3 linked regions of the Canis lupus familiaris genome follow. The protein of the gene in region 2 purifies or fractionates together with the protein of the main gene of each other region. This does not show direct contact. Links are inferred from orthologs where the notes say so. Each region holds a gene or a part of one and is shown on either strand. Other genes may lie near its edges. The genes, in order: CDK1, SPDYC and CDK2.

The links.
Region 1: the proteins of SPDYC (region 2) and CDK1 purify together in Homo sapiens (co-immunoprecipitation; 3 studies listed by BioGRID and IntAct, with this or other methods). This does not show direct contact. The link is inferred for Canis lupus familiaris from reciprocal best matches to the Homo sapiens genes SPDYC and CDK1.
Region 3: the proteins of SPDYC (region 2) and CDK2 purify together in Homo sapiens (co-immunoprecipitation; 3 studies listed by BioGRID and IntAct, with this or other methods). This does not show direct contact. The link is inferred for Canis lupus familiaris from reciprocal best matches to the Homo sapiens genes SPDYC and CDK2.

The regions. Positions count from the first base shown.
Region 1 is NC_049225.1:13,554,014-13,559,592, forward strand, and holds the start of CDK1 (cyclin-dependent kinase 1), read left to right. Parts: upstream 1-1,882; 5' UTR 1,883-1,967; exon of another isoform or gene 1,968-2,092; intron 2,093-2,469; exon of another isoform or gene 2,470-3,112; intron 3,113-3,766; 5' UTR 3,767-3,792; coding exon 3,793-3,829; intron 3,830-5,579. UniProt on the Homo sapiens protein: Plays a key role in the control of the eukaryotic cell cycle by modulating the centrosome cycle as well as mitotic onset; promotes G2-M transition via association with multiple interphase cyclins.
Region 2 is NC_049239.1:52,525,147-52,529,042, forward strand, and holds the end of SPDYC (speedy protein C), read right to left. Parts: exon of another isoform or gene 3,530-3,896; 5' UTR 3,490-3,529; coding exon 3,348-3,489; intron 3,080-3,347; coding exon 3,021-3,079; intron 2,563-3,020; coding exon 2,477-2,562; intron 2,376-2,476; coding exon 2,204-2,375; intron 2,122-2,203; coding exon 1,779-2,121; intron 1,587-1,778; coding exon 1,552-1,586; coding exon of another isoform or gene 1,506-1,551; 3' UTR 1,319-1,505; downstream 1-1,318. UniProt on the Homo sapiens protein: Promotes progression through the cell cycle via binding and activation of CDK1 and CDK2. Involved in the spindle-assembly checkpoint. Required for recruitment of MAD2L1, BUBR1 and BUB1 to kinetochores.
Region 3 is NC_049231.1:650,613-655,961, reverse strand, and holds the start of CDK2 (cyclin-dependent kinase 2), read right to left. Parts: upstream 3,449-5,349; 5' UTR 3,206-3,448; coding exon 3,090-3,205; intron 2,963-3,089; exon of another isoform or gene 2,817-2,962; intron 2,760-2,816; exon of another isoform or gene 2,556-2,759; coding exon of another isoform or gene 2,545-2,555; intron 2,375-2,544; coding exon 2,297-2,374; intron 2,194-2,296; coding exon 2,073-2,193; intron 1,387-2,072; coding exon 1,216-1,386; intron 720-1,215; coding exon 618-719; intron 1-617. Other genes in the region: melanocyte protein PMEL precursor, read left to right, coding at 4,201-4,276. UniProt on the Homo sapiens protein: Serine/threonine-protein kinase involved in the control of the cell cycle; essential for meiosis, but dispensable for mitosis. Phosphorylates CABLES1, CTNNB1, CDK2AP2, ERCC6, NBN, USP37, p53/TP53, NPM1, CDK7, RB1, BRCA2, MYC, NPAT, EZH2.

The sequences.
Region 1 (5,579 bases), on a different chromosome or scaffold from region 2:
TCTCAGATAAATAAATAAAATCTAAAGAAAAAAAAAATACTTCTCTTGTGCAGCCCCTTAGGACATTATTCAGGGCTCTTCAAGATTCTCATTCCAAACTCTCTTCCCTGCTTCACATCCCAGAGGCCCTGCAGCCTCCAATGGTCGCCTGCCTGTGGACTCCCTGTACCCTACAATTGGAGGCATCCTGAATTATTCAGATAGATTTTCAATGCTTACTGTTTGGAAGCCCCACTCCACAGTTCTTTCTCCAGTGTCTGTTTGAATTTGGTGATTTACCTCTCTCTGTTCTCATGTCACTTTATAGCATAAGTTACAACATAAGTACCATCATAAAATTCTAATCCTGTGTTCTCCCACCCCCAAGCCTAAGCAAGAATTGTATCTGATTAATTTTCTGTCCATAAAGTACTTTAGAGACCCTAAATTCAAGTTGGCCCAAAGAATTAATAAACTGAATTTGCTAAGATGCTAGGATGAATTTACAATAACCCCTTAAAGTTTAAAAACAAAGATAATTGAGTTAAAATGAAAAATCTAGCATCACAGCTATAGAAGCTTGTGATCTTCATGTTGAATGTAAAATGGATATAATGAATTATAAGCTGTTATTAGGTGCTATAAAATGAATGCCTTGTTGAGGCCTCCCAGAGAGAAATATCTACATGCACTCATTAAAATCAGTACCCTGAACTGACAGAGAACAGTCATCTTCCCTAGAGTACTTCTCTGGGGTAGTCAATTTTCATTTAAAATGTGAACTTGGGTGTTGAAAAGTAAGTTTTACAAGTTCTTAGGTTCAGGCAGAGATTTCACAACCACCTACCTCCAATGTGAACCCCAAGTGCTCTGTCACCTAGGAGCACAAAATTGTTAAGACCATGTGTTGGTACCACAAATGGTGCCAGATGACAGATGCTTCTCACTGTGTAAAAAAGGTACTAAACACTTACATGCATGTGATATACTAGCTCATTGTTTATCCTAATCTGGGTCTTTTTTTTTTTTTTTTTTGGTATATGGAACAGTTCAAGAATTTGTGCGTCATCTTTGCGCAGGGACCAACTTAATCTGTTTTGTTCCAATTTTAGCACATTGCTGTCCAAGCCAGCACCTAATCTGGCTCTTCTGACAGGTCTTTGTAGCGTTCATGGTAATCCATCCTTGTTCTACATTCCATTAAGAGCAGCCCTTATTAGGTGACTCTTATTGCCAGTTCTATTTTATTTTTTAAAGACTGAAAGAATGATGTTCAAGTGCAAACATCTCTCTTAAGGTTATTGTGGAGGGCAGTGAGAGAGAGAGAGAGAGAGAGAGAGTTTTTGATACTTAGTTATTTAAAGTATAATTTAGGTCTCCCCCCCCCCCAAAGACTTGTGAATTTTTGTGTTCTAAAAAACTAAAATTCTGTTGTGAAAATATTTAAAAATCTAAAAATGTAAAATTTTGTCTTTCATTTTTAAATACATGGAATTTTAAGTAAATGGAAACTTTAAAATTCTGAAAATAAAGTAAAAACAAAGCATATATGCGTGTGTGAAATGGATTCCTTTGGCCCAGCCGGAAAATCACCCACTTAGAAAAACACCATTTACGGTAGCTTTAAGTATTAGAAGTGAAAGTGATGGAATCTGAATGTCAAGGTAGCATCGCTTTTGTGATGAGAGAGCTGAGTGCAGTACGTTTTAATTGTGCCAATACTGAACAGGGAAGAACCCGACCCAGGGCCAACAGTAGATTTCCGACGACCAGAAGCAGTAGGACGACGCTCCCCAGCGATGAAAGAAAGCGCCTGCGCTGGGACTCAGTTGGCGCCCGCCCTCCTGCTTTTTCGCCAGCCGCCGTTTCCACCCTCTTTCGCGCTTCGGCCTCCCGGGAAGCCCAGCCCCGAGCGTCGCTGAGCTCCGATTGGCTCCTTTGAAAGTCTACGGGCTGCCTGATTGGCGGGCCCCCGGCCCTTTAGCGCGGTGAGTTTGAAACAGCTCGCGCTCCGCTTCAAAGCTGGCTCTGGGAAGTTGAGGCGAGAGCGACGCGGACGTGGAGGCGGCCGCTGCTTTCGCCGCGGGACAGTAAGGCGGGCGGCCTCGCTGAGGTCAGGGTCGTTCCTGCGGGGCGTCTGCGCCGCGGGGCCCGGCTCGGAGGCCGCGGCTGGTGGTGGGAGGCCGCGGGGGGCCGCGCGGGGCCGGGCCGGGCCGGGCCGGGCCTCCGGATCCTAGGCCGCGCCCTCGCTGGGGCCCCGGGGCCCGGCCCTCCGGGGAGGCTGGCGGGAGCCCCGACGCGGCGGGCGCGCTCCCGGGCGGGTGAGGCCGCCGGCCGGCTGAGGAGGCCGTCGGGGCGTGGCGCCGGCCGGACGACGCCGATTGCCGGGCTCCGGCCTGGGCCCCGCGCGCGCCGCCCTGCTCCCTGGCGTGGCCGGCCAGACCCCACCTGGGCCAGGTGCCCGCGTGGGAGCGCCGGCGGGCCCCGCTGGCCTGTGGGCCTCCCCGGGGTTCCCTGCGCCCGCGGCCCTGGCGCGCCCGGAGCTGTGGAGAGACCCGGCCAAGGACAGAACCAGAGGAGGAGGAAGCTCGGGGTGGCCCCTTGACTCTAAGCTGTTGTATGTGCTGTGCCATCGGCCCACAGGGAAGGCTCAGAAACGCCTCGAGAAAGCACATACGCGTGTGCTCAGTATTCCTGATCGGTCTTTGTTTAACACTAGAGCTCCCCATGTGCACGCCTGCTTGCTTGCTTCAAAGACCTGGAGGCCTCTGGGTAGGAGACGAAGCTGTGGTGTCGCGGTGCCGGGCCCCAGGGGCAGGGCCTCCAGAGGCTTTGTGAAGCCGCGTCCTCTCTGTGAGATTGTCACAGCAGCGACACGGAGAGCCGGCGAGGCCTAGGAAACCCAGCTTTGAAAGGCTTGCTCAGAGCGAGCTCGACAGTTGGATTGTTCGTCAGGCGTGTTAAATCTGGGCGTCGTAGAAGGGATGATTACCGTTCTGTAAAATTAAAAATGTCTAAGATGGGAACTCCTAGCCAGTGTAGTGCAACTTCGTTCATTTAAAAAGATTTTCTTGCTTCTACTTCTGGCATGATCCCGGAGACCAGTGCGAGCGTCGACTACCCAGTGACCTATGTACGTAATCTTATCAGGGATGAGTGTGTTAGAAAGTCAAGGTAATTCTACTCTGGGCTTCTGAAGTGAAGATTTCTTTGGCAAACTTCTCAGCTGAGGACGTCTTGAAGGTCTTGTCAGCCTCTCAACTGACGTTTAAGCAGTCTTGCTGATGGTGGTTGATTATTACGGCCACAGTAGCTCTATTTGTGTCATTAAAACTTTTTTCCTTTTGAATTTTCTTAGAAAAGGGGTACAAATTCAGTCAAATAACATTATTTGACTTACTTAACACAAATAACATTTGTGGAAATGGCTGGGTATAACTGGCAGAAATTGATGCTCCTTAGAAGTGTTACATAAAGAAACACACTTGTTTTTTTGTTTGGGAGGGATAGATAAGTTTGATACCTGAATTTGAGGGTTAATCTGATTGCAAGAAGCAAAGTACTACACTGGCTAAGATATACAAATCCAATGTTTTAAGAGCTAAAAAAGGTGGAAAAATCTTATTGCAAAGGTCCCTTCCCTTGTAAATGTTTTAACATAATTAGTATTTATGGGAAATTAATACTGCAGTAGACACTGGAAAATGCTTTATACTATCATTAAAAACTTAAAACCATCTTTTGAGTTAGTGGCATATGATCAAATTAATTTTTTCTCTCATTTTAGGATCCTACCGTATCTGTTGATTAACTATGGAAGATTATACCAAAATAGAGAAAATTGGAGAAGGTGAGTGGTTTTAATAATAAAAGAGTTAAAAAATGATTTGGTAATGCTCTAATATCTGGGACATGAAAACCTGTAAATATTTATTGAAATCCAATCTTTAAGGTGTCCTTCAGTGCTAATGTGCCTTGATTATATGTTCTTTACATGGTAACATATGCACAAAATGTTCAGATTTCAAGAAAATTGAAATTATTCTGATAGGATTCCCTGCCAACCCTCTCCCATCCCCCTAAAAATCTTATATTTTTTAAGTACTAAACACTTAAAGCAATATTTGTATTTTGAAAACACTATTGAGATCTTGTGTTATGTTTTGGTGGGGAGAGGTTAGGGAAGTAGAATTTTTTTTTTTTTTTTTTAAGATTTTTATTTATTTACTTGAGAGAGCACAAGCAGGGGGAGCTTCAGAGGGAGAGGGAAAAACTGGCTCCTTGCTGAATGAACAGGGAGTCCATGCGGGTCTGTATCCCAGAACTCTGGGATCAGGACCTGAGCTGAAGGCAGACGCTTAATCGACTGAGCCACCCAGATACGCCTAGGGCAGTAGAATTCTATTAAGTTTAATAGTGTACTTTTAATCATGTACAATTCTTTTTAAGTGCTTTTACCCAAACTTTCTAAACTAGTATAATAGACTATTAAACCAATTTATTTATTTATTTATTTATTTTTTAATTTTTATTTATTTATGATAGTCACACAGAGAGAGAGAGAGAGAGAGAGAGGCAGAGACATAGGCAGAGGGAGAAGCAGGCTCTATGCACCAGGAGCCCGATGTGGGATTCGATCCCTGGTCTCCAGGATCGCGCCCTGGGCCAAAGGCAGGCGCTAAACCGCTGCGCCACCCAGGGATCCCTATTAAACCAATTTAAATAAATTTTTTAATTTCCCTTGATTTAAATGACATGTCATGTATACCTGCTTAAGCAATTCTAAAACAACTTTTTTTTTTAAAGATTTTATTTATCCATTAGAGAGAGAGAGAGAGAGAAAGCAGGGGGAGGCTCAGAGGAAGAAGCAGGCTCTCCACAGAGCAGGAACTTGATATAGGGCTTGATCCCAGGACTCTGGGATTATGACTTGAGCTGAAGGCAGGCACTTAAACAACTGAGCTACCCAGGTGTCCCTAAAACCAGTAACTCTTGTATATGATCATTCCCCTCTGTAGTACTTTCATTGAAGTTTTTAAAGAATGTTTATATGGCACAAGTGGAAGGGTAAAAATCCCTTTACTTTTTTTTTTCCCCAAAAAGAATATATAAGTTTCTGTATAAGAGTTGGTATTAACGTTCTAAACTCTATAGGAACAAATGGTACACCTTTATGCAAAGCAATTTGCTATTAGAGTAATTTATGTAGGTCTGTTTGAGGGATATTTCCAATCAGTATATTTTTAGTGTGTTTCAAAACCGTATTTGTACAAGGAATACTACTAAAATCTAGGGGCGGAGTACTGGAAAGAATTTAGTAAGATAGTAATGAATAACTTTAGGTAGTGCACGGGTTAGAGATACATTCTTTTTCTTACCAATACTGTATTTTTTTAATCGCTTAAATACTTTCTTAAATCCTCTCAACTAAATTTTGTTTGAGTTGAGAATAAGTTTTGAATAACATATCTAATGTCTTCTACTTTGAGTTTTTCTTAATCCCCAGAGAATCAAATGAGTGGTGATTTTGTTTGTAACAAAAAGTTATTCTTAAAGTGTAAATGTGTTTTCCTTTAAAACTCTGGAACTCCTAACATGCA
Region 2 (3,896 bases):
GCTTTTTTACTTCCATGCTTCTTGGGAGCCACTCATAGAGCATGCATAGGAAGGGTGCCCAGATTCCCCTCTCTGACCCATGTGGACTTCAGCTTCAGCTCCAGCCACTCCCCAAACACACCCTTCCCTCCAGACCATCCCTAGGCAGCCATTTCCTCTACCAGGAACACGCAGGCCTCACATCTGAGCTCTGTTCTTGAGATTGTTCTTTTCTTTTTTCAAGATTCTATTTATTTATTCATGAGAGAGAGAGAGGCAAAGACATAGGCAGAGGGAGAAGCAGGCTCCATGCAGGGAGCCTGATGTGGGACTTGATCCCGGGTCTCTAGGATCATGCCCTGGGCTGAAGGCAGCGCTAAACCCCTGACTCACCCAGGCTGCCCGAGACTGTTGTAAACACTTCTAGGATTAATGCATTCGAATCTCACAACACCCAATTTAAGTATAATATCCATTTTGTGGATGACGCTATGGCGATTAAGTAATATGACAAGGTCACATAGAAACCTAGAAGTTAGATAGAAGCTGTCTGGCATCAGAGACCAAGTCTAATCTATTCCTCTGGAATAATCTTCTAGAATAGCCTACCTCATGACTTCTGCCCCTCCATGGGCAAACTTGACATTGGTCAAGGCCCAGCTCTAATGCCACCTCCTCTGGAAAGCCTTCTCTGCTCCCTCATTGACAAATTTCCTCTTGGGGACAGGGGACAAGTATTATAATAATTGCATTATATTTTATTGCAGCCCAGCGAAGGGACCAGGTCTTATTCCTAAGCAGACCTGGCCCTTGCAGGTATGTCTAGGCTAACTCTAGGGGGCTTCACCATTTAAGCTTTTTTTGTCCTAGAGGTTCCAGGGCCTCTTGTAAGGGCTGCATATACTTTTTCTCATTCAACTTCATCCACACTGTGTAGATTTCATCATTTATGGGTGACATTATAGAGGGGAAACATATAGAGGCCCAGTGAAATAGCAGTTCAGGATGACTGGTCATCAATGGAAAGGGGTCATCAATGGAAAGAGGAATTGTTATTACAGAGCCCGTGCTCACGAGTCTCAATCACTGGTACCTAAACCCGGCAGGATTCCCTCTCCAGGGATCCCTGGGTGGCACAATGGTTTGGCACCTGCCTTTGGCCCAGGGCGCGATCCTGGAGACCCGGGATCGAATCCCACGTCGGGCTCCCGGTGCATGGAGCCTGCTTCTCCCTCTGCCTGTGTCTCTGCCTCTCTCTCTCTCTCTCTCTGTGACTATCATAAATAAATAAAAATTAAAAAAAAAAAAAAAAAAAAGGATTCCCTCTCCAATTTCGTCCCTACCCCGACCCTGGGTCAAGGAGCCAGGCCAGGGCCTAAGCACAGTTGGTGTCCTATAGACACGAGTTTATTAGAGGGGCCAGGGTCAGAGTGCATACAGTTGGGAGGAGGTGACAGGGGACCTGGGCAGCACTGCCAGCCTGAAGCCAATAAGACAGAAGGCCAGGGGGCCACAGCCAGTGGGGCTTAGGTCAGCAGGCAAGGAGGTGGGCTGCTCTTCACTCTGCACATGTCAGTGCCCAGGGCATGGTGGAGGCTTCGGGAGGACTAGAGAGAAAGGACAAAGAGAGGCTCAGAGAGGACACTTAGCAAAAGCAAACAAGTAGGAGTTGGCAAAGGTGGGACAGGTGCCCAGGCCTGCTGGACCCCAGGCCCTATGCCCCTCCTTCCCATTCTGTCAAGCCCCACACCCACCTCCCAGGCTCCTAAGCCCACCCCCAGCTGCTGTCCCCAACTCACTATAGAGAGTGTAGGTGCCTGGCTCTAGTTGCAGTTGGGGGGGCAGGATGATGAGGAAGCCCCCCCCCAAGGGGTCTCCAGCCACCGAAAGACAAGCTTGCGGGTCAGGGCAGTGTCGCTCAGGGTTTGGGGAAGGACACTTGAACAAGACAGGCAAGGGGTGGGGCTGGTGGCTGCAGTGGCTGGGGGAAGAGGGCAAACTACAGAGGGAACAGGCAGGTGGTGAGAGGCCGGGGCCCCCGGGGAGGGCAACTCGGGGTTTTGTGCAGCCCCTCTGAGCCCCACCGTGGTGGGGACGCCGCTCTCGAGTCCAGGCCCAGTGGGACGGCTCCTTGGCCATGACCTGGCATGAGTAGAGTACACAGTAAGTGGGGGTGGGAAGTCCAACCTTGTTTCCCCAACCCGGGTTGATGGTGGGGCCTCACCTCCTCACAGCACTGGCGGCTCACCATGGCCCGGAAGCCCATCCGGGCCCACAGCTTATCCCTTTGATGTAGGAAGTCTGCTACCCGACAACGCCAATCTTTTCCCAGGGCCCACAGGAAAATCACACATTTAGGGTCCTCAAGATCCTCCTCCATGTCGTTTGCAAGAAACCTAGTCATGGAGACAGCAGGCAGAGAGCAGAGGCCATAAGCACCTGCACTGCCCCATCCTACAACTCCTTATGAATGTCCCCACCACCCAGGGCCACTCACAGGGCCAAGAACAAGTTGCTATGGGTGTACTCGCTGAGCTTCAGGTTGGCACGCCGAAAGTAGACCAGCACCATGGCCAGGAGATACTGCAGACACAGAAAGGGGGAGAGGTTACAGTGAGGCCTGCAGGAGAGGGGACTGTGCCAGGCCCATTTACACCCAAGGAAGCCGCGGTGTGGGTCAGAAAACCCAGGGGAAGTGGTCAGGTAAAAACAGACTTAAAAGAGAGATGCTCAGGACTCCTGGGTGGCTCAGTGTTTGAGCATCTGCCTTTGGCTCAGGTCGTGATCCCAGGGTCCTGGGATTAAGTCCTGCATCAGGCTCCCCATAGGAAGCCTGCTTCTCCCTCTGCCTATGTCTCTGCCTCTCTCAGTGACTCTCATGAATAAATATATAAAATCTTAAAAAAAAAAAAGAAAAAGAAAAAGAAAAAGAAATGCTCCCAGTACCAGACCAGGAGGCCCAGTGAAATAGCAGCATTCAAGCTCCACTAATTCAGACCGCCCCAGGTGACTCCCAGCCTCTGTTCCCAGTGTCACCTCACCTTATCCGAAATCTGGAAACAGGGATCTCTGGAAAGGAATTCCTGGAGGAAACTGTGCTCTGGAGTAGAGAAGAGGAATGGTGGACTGGGGTTACCACCAGCCCCCACGAGACAAGAGTGGCATCAGAGTTCCAAAGCTCAAACCTCCACTGAACCCACATTCTGACAGGACCCCTCCCCTCCCCTTGCCAAACTGGGGTCACCTGAGAAGGGAAGGGGCAGAGATTGCTGATACTTGCATGGCGGGTGAATGTCCCCCCCACCTTCACTTCAGTTTCACACTTGGTCCTCACAGATGCTTCCACGCCAGTCCCTGAGTGAACTCACCCAGAAGGTTGAGAAAAGCCTGGAGCTCCTGGTGCCGGCGTGGATGAACAGACCCACTACCCCCACGTTGATGGCTCCAGCCCCCCAGCTTCACCTGGGTGGCAACCACTGGGAAAGTGGCAAAGTCTTGAGCGTCACTCATCTCCTAGGGGATGGGGACGGGTGGGGTGGGGCAGGATGGCCTGTAGAGAAAGTAGCCTCAGGATTAGCACCTACCCCCTCGCTCCCCACAAATCAAGGGGGTTTTTGAGGCTGGCCTGACAAAAGACCTCCAGGAAGTGGTGAGATGAGCATGGAGACTTGGGAGGGTGGGAGTGCAGTGCTCGGAGCAGACTAGAAATGGGCATACGTGTGGGGTGAGGAGACCAGAGAAGCAGCAGAATTCCTGGAGGCTGCAGCTCCCCCCACCCCATCCTGGGGCCCCAGGCCAAGCTGGAGAGTAAGCATAGCAGCAACAGCCACCACTGAGGGCTTCCTAAGTGCCTGGAGCTGTGCTCAATTCTTTGAGGGCATTATCTCACTTCATCCGGGTAGGTGGGTATAGGCCAA
Region 3 (5,349 bases), on a different chromosome or scaffold from region 2:
ACAACCCAGATAAAGGACCATAAAACAAATTGCTGATTTGAAGTGAAAACACAGTCCACTCCACTGTTATATTAAAGGGGATGAGAGCTCCCATAAAAGGCTGGACCTCAGGGATCCTTCATTCAGAAAAGCCAGAAGTTGAGGGGGACATAATTTAAGTCTGCAGTTTAAATAAAAGGTATGATAGATAGATAAATAAATAAATAAATAAATAAATAAATAAATAAATAAATGGATAACATGAATACAGTTGATTTCACCATATTCCTGGGACCTTACTAGAAGGTCTACAGGCCAAATGAAGGAGGCACTGAATGGTAGGTACTCATTCTCCCAAATATATGCAGACTAAAGCTAAAACAGTTGCAGAAATGATTTAGCTCAATTTGGGGACAAGAGACGTGTATTTAATGCTAAGGCCATTTGAGGATATACTGACATTGTAGTTGACCTCAGGGACGATAGTCCTATCCTTTCCCCCGTACCCGCTTTGGTCCTACTCTAAGAGAAAGGATCCTAGATAATAGAAGGGCCATGAGTCTAGGCCAAGAAAAAGTTCTGTTGTTTTTGAATGTGGGGAGGAGAGAGCTGGGTGGAACTCGGGCTTGCCTCCATACCATCTCAGCAAAGATGCAGCCCAAGCTCCAGATATCTACGGCTGTGGAGTAGTACTTGCAGCCCAGAAGGATTTCAGGTGCTCGGTACCACAGGGTCACCACCTGGGAACAAGAGCAAGAAGGGGAGAGGTGGTGCATGGGGCACAGTGATTCCCACATGTCAGCTCCTCGGTGTTACTCTGCTAGTTCTCAGCCTGATCACAAGCAGCTTCTCTCCCTCTATCTTTCTTTTCCCATCTTTCTGACTTCCCCTGCGTAAAGTGATTACACACAACTTCTTAGACCAGAGTTAGCCTCGCCTGTGGCTCCAAAGACCCTATTTTCTGAACCCAAAACTTTCAACCTTCCTGGAAAACTCCTGAGAGAAGTGGTCATAATTTTAATGATATGCCATCCAGCTCTGCTGGCTTGGTACCTACTGAAGCCCAGCTAGCCCCGCAATATGAACTCAGTGCATACTCTAAAACCTCCTGGGGTGCCAGAGATACTTTCATCTAGGGAGAGAGAAACTGCTGGCCAGATAGGTTTAGTCATTTTGTAAATGTCCTTGTTAACACCTCCCAGAAAGTTCAGAGAAGAAGTGCAGACAGGGTCTCACCTCATGGGTGTAAGTACGAACAGGGACTCCAAAGGCTCTGGCTAATCCAAAGTCTGCTAGCTTGATGGCCCCCTCTGCGTTGATAAGCAGATTCTGAGGTTTGAGGTCTCGGTGCAGAACCCGATGAGAATGGCAGAAGGCTAGGCCCTGGAGCAGCTGGAACAGATAGCTCTGACGAAGGAGAGAGAGAGGACTTTGTTTCTCGACCACAGTGAGCTATTAGGCTCCACTCTGCCTGCAAAGCTGTACTAAAGCCTTTTACTGTATTAGATTATAATTGCATGTTTATAAGCTGTATCTCCCATTGGACTGCTAGTCTAGTGAAGATAAGGACTGGGTCCTATTTAGTTTTGCATCTCTTTTCCATATTCTGTGCCTAGCACATTGAAGGTGTTCAGTAAATGAGCACCGAATAAATGTTTGTTGATAGATTGAAAATAGCTCAGGGAGCAGAGAACCCAGCCCTAAGACAGACAACAGAGACTCACTGGCTATTTCTCCTACCAAACTAGTGGAAGGGGTTCTTGGAGGAATCTACCAAGTACCAAGTACCCTCCAGTCTCGTTTATCTGAGTTTCATCTGACCTTCCACCTGAGCTACAAAGTTGACTCACTAGAGTTTCAACTTCTTTGATTCTCCTGCCCTGCCCAGGGGTTAATAAGCATAATGAGCAGTGAAAGAGCCACAAAAGAAAGGTGTGTGTGTGTGTGTGTGTGTGTGTGTGTGTGTGTGTGTGTAGGGGGATGAGGGCTGGGAAGGAAGCTAAGATCACAGATCATCACCCAGTCTGAATTGCCTGCCTTCAGTCCCCCCAAAACGTGCCCATGTTGGGGGAGGAGTTGATGAGAAGGATTACCTTGATGAGGGGAAGAGGAATGCCAGTCAAAGCAGAAGCATCCATAAATTTCTTCAGATCCTGGTGCAGAAATTCAAAAACCAGGTAGAGTTTGTTTTCTGTGTGGATGACATCCAATAGCCTAGGGAGGGAGGTCCAGGAATGGAGGTGAGGAAGAGCGATGCCCCGGCCTCACAGAAGACATTCTCTTTTACCGCTGAAATATCTCCCAGACACATACTTACTTGACAATGTTCGGGTGGTTAAGCTCCTTAAGCAGGGAGATCTCTCGTATAGCAGTACTGGGTACACCCTCCGTCTCACTTGGGGAGGTTGAGAAAGCAGAGAGAGGAATGTGGTTACAAATACTGCTTTTCCCCCAGCCCAGTCTCCGAACGAGACACCACCCCAGCACACCCTAGGAAAGTGACAGAAGAGAAAGGGGGCTGTAGGAGTTAATTCACAGGTGGACAGGGGGGTGCTTTTTGGATACGTTAAGGTCATTATTTCTTCTTCTCCCACGGGTAGGTAAGTAAAGCCTTCTGGTGGAGGTGAAGAAGAGAGAAGGTAACGGGAGGAAAGAAGAGTAGCAGCACCCAGCCTCCCTAGACGGGCCAGTGAGGTTCAACTGCCATTCTTTTGAAAGGGGTAGAGAATTCTAAGAGGAGGGTGGGGTTGGGGCAGTGAGGAGGGCTCTTCATTCAGAAAGGTGCTCTTCACCGGTTCCCACAGACCTCAACTCCACGGGGAGTCTTGGACCCCCACCTCAGAGGCCTCCTTCCTCTTCCTGAGTCTTTCGGACTACACGTTTGGGGGCATCACTCGGCTTTGGGGAGAAAGTTTCCCACAGACTCTACAGTGCCCTATACTCTGCACAGGGAAACCCTTCACTGTCCTCCAGCCCACCTCTCCACTTCGAAAGAAGTCCCACCCTGCTACCTTCCGGTCCTCGGACGGCTACCCGCCTGTCGGGGTGGGGGCGGGGGGCACTCAAGAAGCTCCGGAGTTAGAGGAGTCCCGGGTACAGAGGCCACTCACGTGTCCAGGCGGATTTTTTTAAGCGCCACCACTTCTCCCGTCACTTTGTTTTTGGCTTTGTACACAACTCCGTACGTGCCCTCTCCGATCTTTTCCACTTTTTGGAAGTTCTCCATGAAGCAAGCGCTAGAGTCGGGTCAGCCCGGCCCCGGAGCGGGGGCCTGGGAACCCAGCAAAAGGCGGGCCCCGGCTCTCGGGGGCTGGAGGAGGGGAAACAGGGCCCAGCTCCGCGGCCTCAGGTCGGGATGGAACGGAGTGTATCTCTCGCTCTTGTCAATTTGTCCAACTTGAAACAATGTTGCCGCCTCCCCTCGGGTTCCCTACCGCCAGTGGAGGCCCCGCCCCTCCTTCCCGCGTTTCCCTGGCCCCGCCCCCGGCCCTTCCCATTGGCCAGCGTCAGAGCGGGGGGGCGAGCCCAGCGCGTCGCTGCCGCCAGTGACCCCACCTCGCGCAAGGTTACTACCGAGGGTCTTCGATACAAGTTTGTCACCTTGGGGAAGCTAAATAAACGTCTTTTTCCAAGTACCCAATTTGGAGTCGAGCTTCCTTCCTGTGTCCTGGGCCTGGAGGGATTTCCTGACCTCTGATTCGCCAACCCCAGAGAAAATGTGTCTTGCCCTAAGATTGAATTCCACCTGGCCCAGGGAACCGCCTTTGAAAAGCAGGAAGCTAGGAATCTCATCGTATGGGTGTCCTGGGCCTTGGACACGTCGTTCGCGCCCCTCTCTGCCTATCCTATCCTATCTCTCTGTTTGGAGATGCAGGGTCTCCATCTGTTTGAGAGGTTTCCTGGTTTGACTCAAAAACCAGATTGATCCCCTTAGCCTGTGGTGCACTGCAGGCGTCGAGTACACACGATGTAGCTAGCTGCCCTGCAGTCCATGTTTCCCCGGTCAAGAAGGTCGTGACCCAGTGAAACCAGAAACTGTCATTGAGTAGCGGGATGTCCAGGGACCAGGATCCCTTTTCAGTTATTTCTCTGGCCCTCCTGCCCCTCCCAAGCCTCTCCAGGAGGGAAAGGAGGATGGGCTATGCAAATGAGCACCCCTCTCCTATATAGGGGCTTGTCCCAGCACCCCCAGCGCCTTTGGTTGCTGGAAGAAAGAACAAGATGAATCTGGTGCCGAGAAAATGCCTTCTCCATGTGGCTGTGATGGGTGTTCTTCTGGCTGTGGGGGCCACAGAAGGTTAGTGTGGGGAGTATGGACATGAACAAGTGGGAGTTTGGGGTTGCACACCTGCTCTGATTTTTCTCCCTCCTCATGGGAGATACCAGCAATATTTCAGGCTTCTTCCACCCATTTGATTTAGCGAGGACATGGGCATCTGAAGTCCCTCTCTAGGTGGAAATTTGGGACTGAGCCTGAAAATAATCCCATCTGCTTGGAAGGGCAAAAGGATAGTAGGTCTTTGGGGCTCTAATTCTGAGACACCCCCACCCCACCCCCGGGGCAATGAGCTGGAGCAGGGGCTTTGAAAGGGAAATAAGTGGAAGACTTAGGGAATGACTCAGGCACTTGGGATAGGGTATTTAAAAGAAAGGAGTAAGAGAATGTGGTATTGATGTGGATAGAAAAGGTAAGGAGGTATCACCTCCCCTCTTTGGAATGGGGATGGGTAAATATAGCTCAGGCTTTTGTCCTGGGGCTGGAAGAGACAGGCAGAGGGGTCTCAGCTGAGCATCACATGAAAGGGCTCTGGGGGATTGGGGCCTCGTGACGGGAGCAAGGGGTGGGGGTGGGGGTGGTGAGAGGGTCTGGAATGTCCCGTGCTGCTCTGAGGAGGGAGGGTTGGGAGTGAAGAATGGGGTATCTTATGATTCTCTTGCTTTAGCGGTGGGATGCTCAGTGAGATTATTCTAGATCTACCCCCCACCCCCCCGCCCTCAGCAGACTCAGCTAGGTCTCCACTACACATTGAAAAGGAGTTTCTCCTGTGCTAAAATATAGATATCATATCCTAGTCTCCCCTTTCTCTCTCTAGATCCCTGGTCTCACAGACTTCTAGGAAATTTTCCTGATCTGACTTCCCTCATTTGTGCTCCAGTTTCAAGCCTTTTACTATTTCCTTAATGTATTCTGGAAATATTCTTTTCATTCTTGTGCACCTGAGCCTCTTAAAAGATGGTGCTTACTTTTTGGATAATGATTTTTTTAAGTCATAAGAAGACATTTTTAGATGAAACTTTATACGAATTGGGTTTGATCATTTTGTCTAGGGGGAAGTGACATTGTGCTTATTCAAGAAAATGTTCATATTT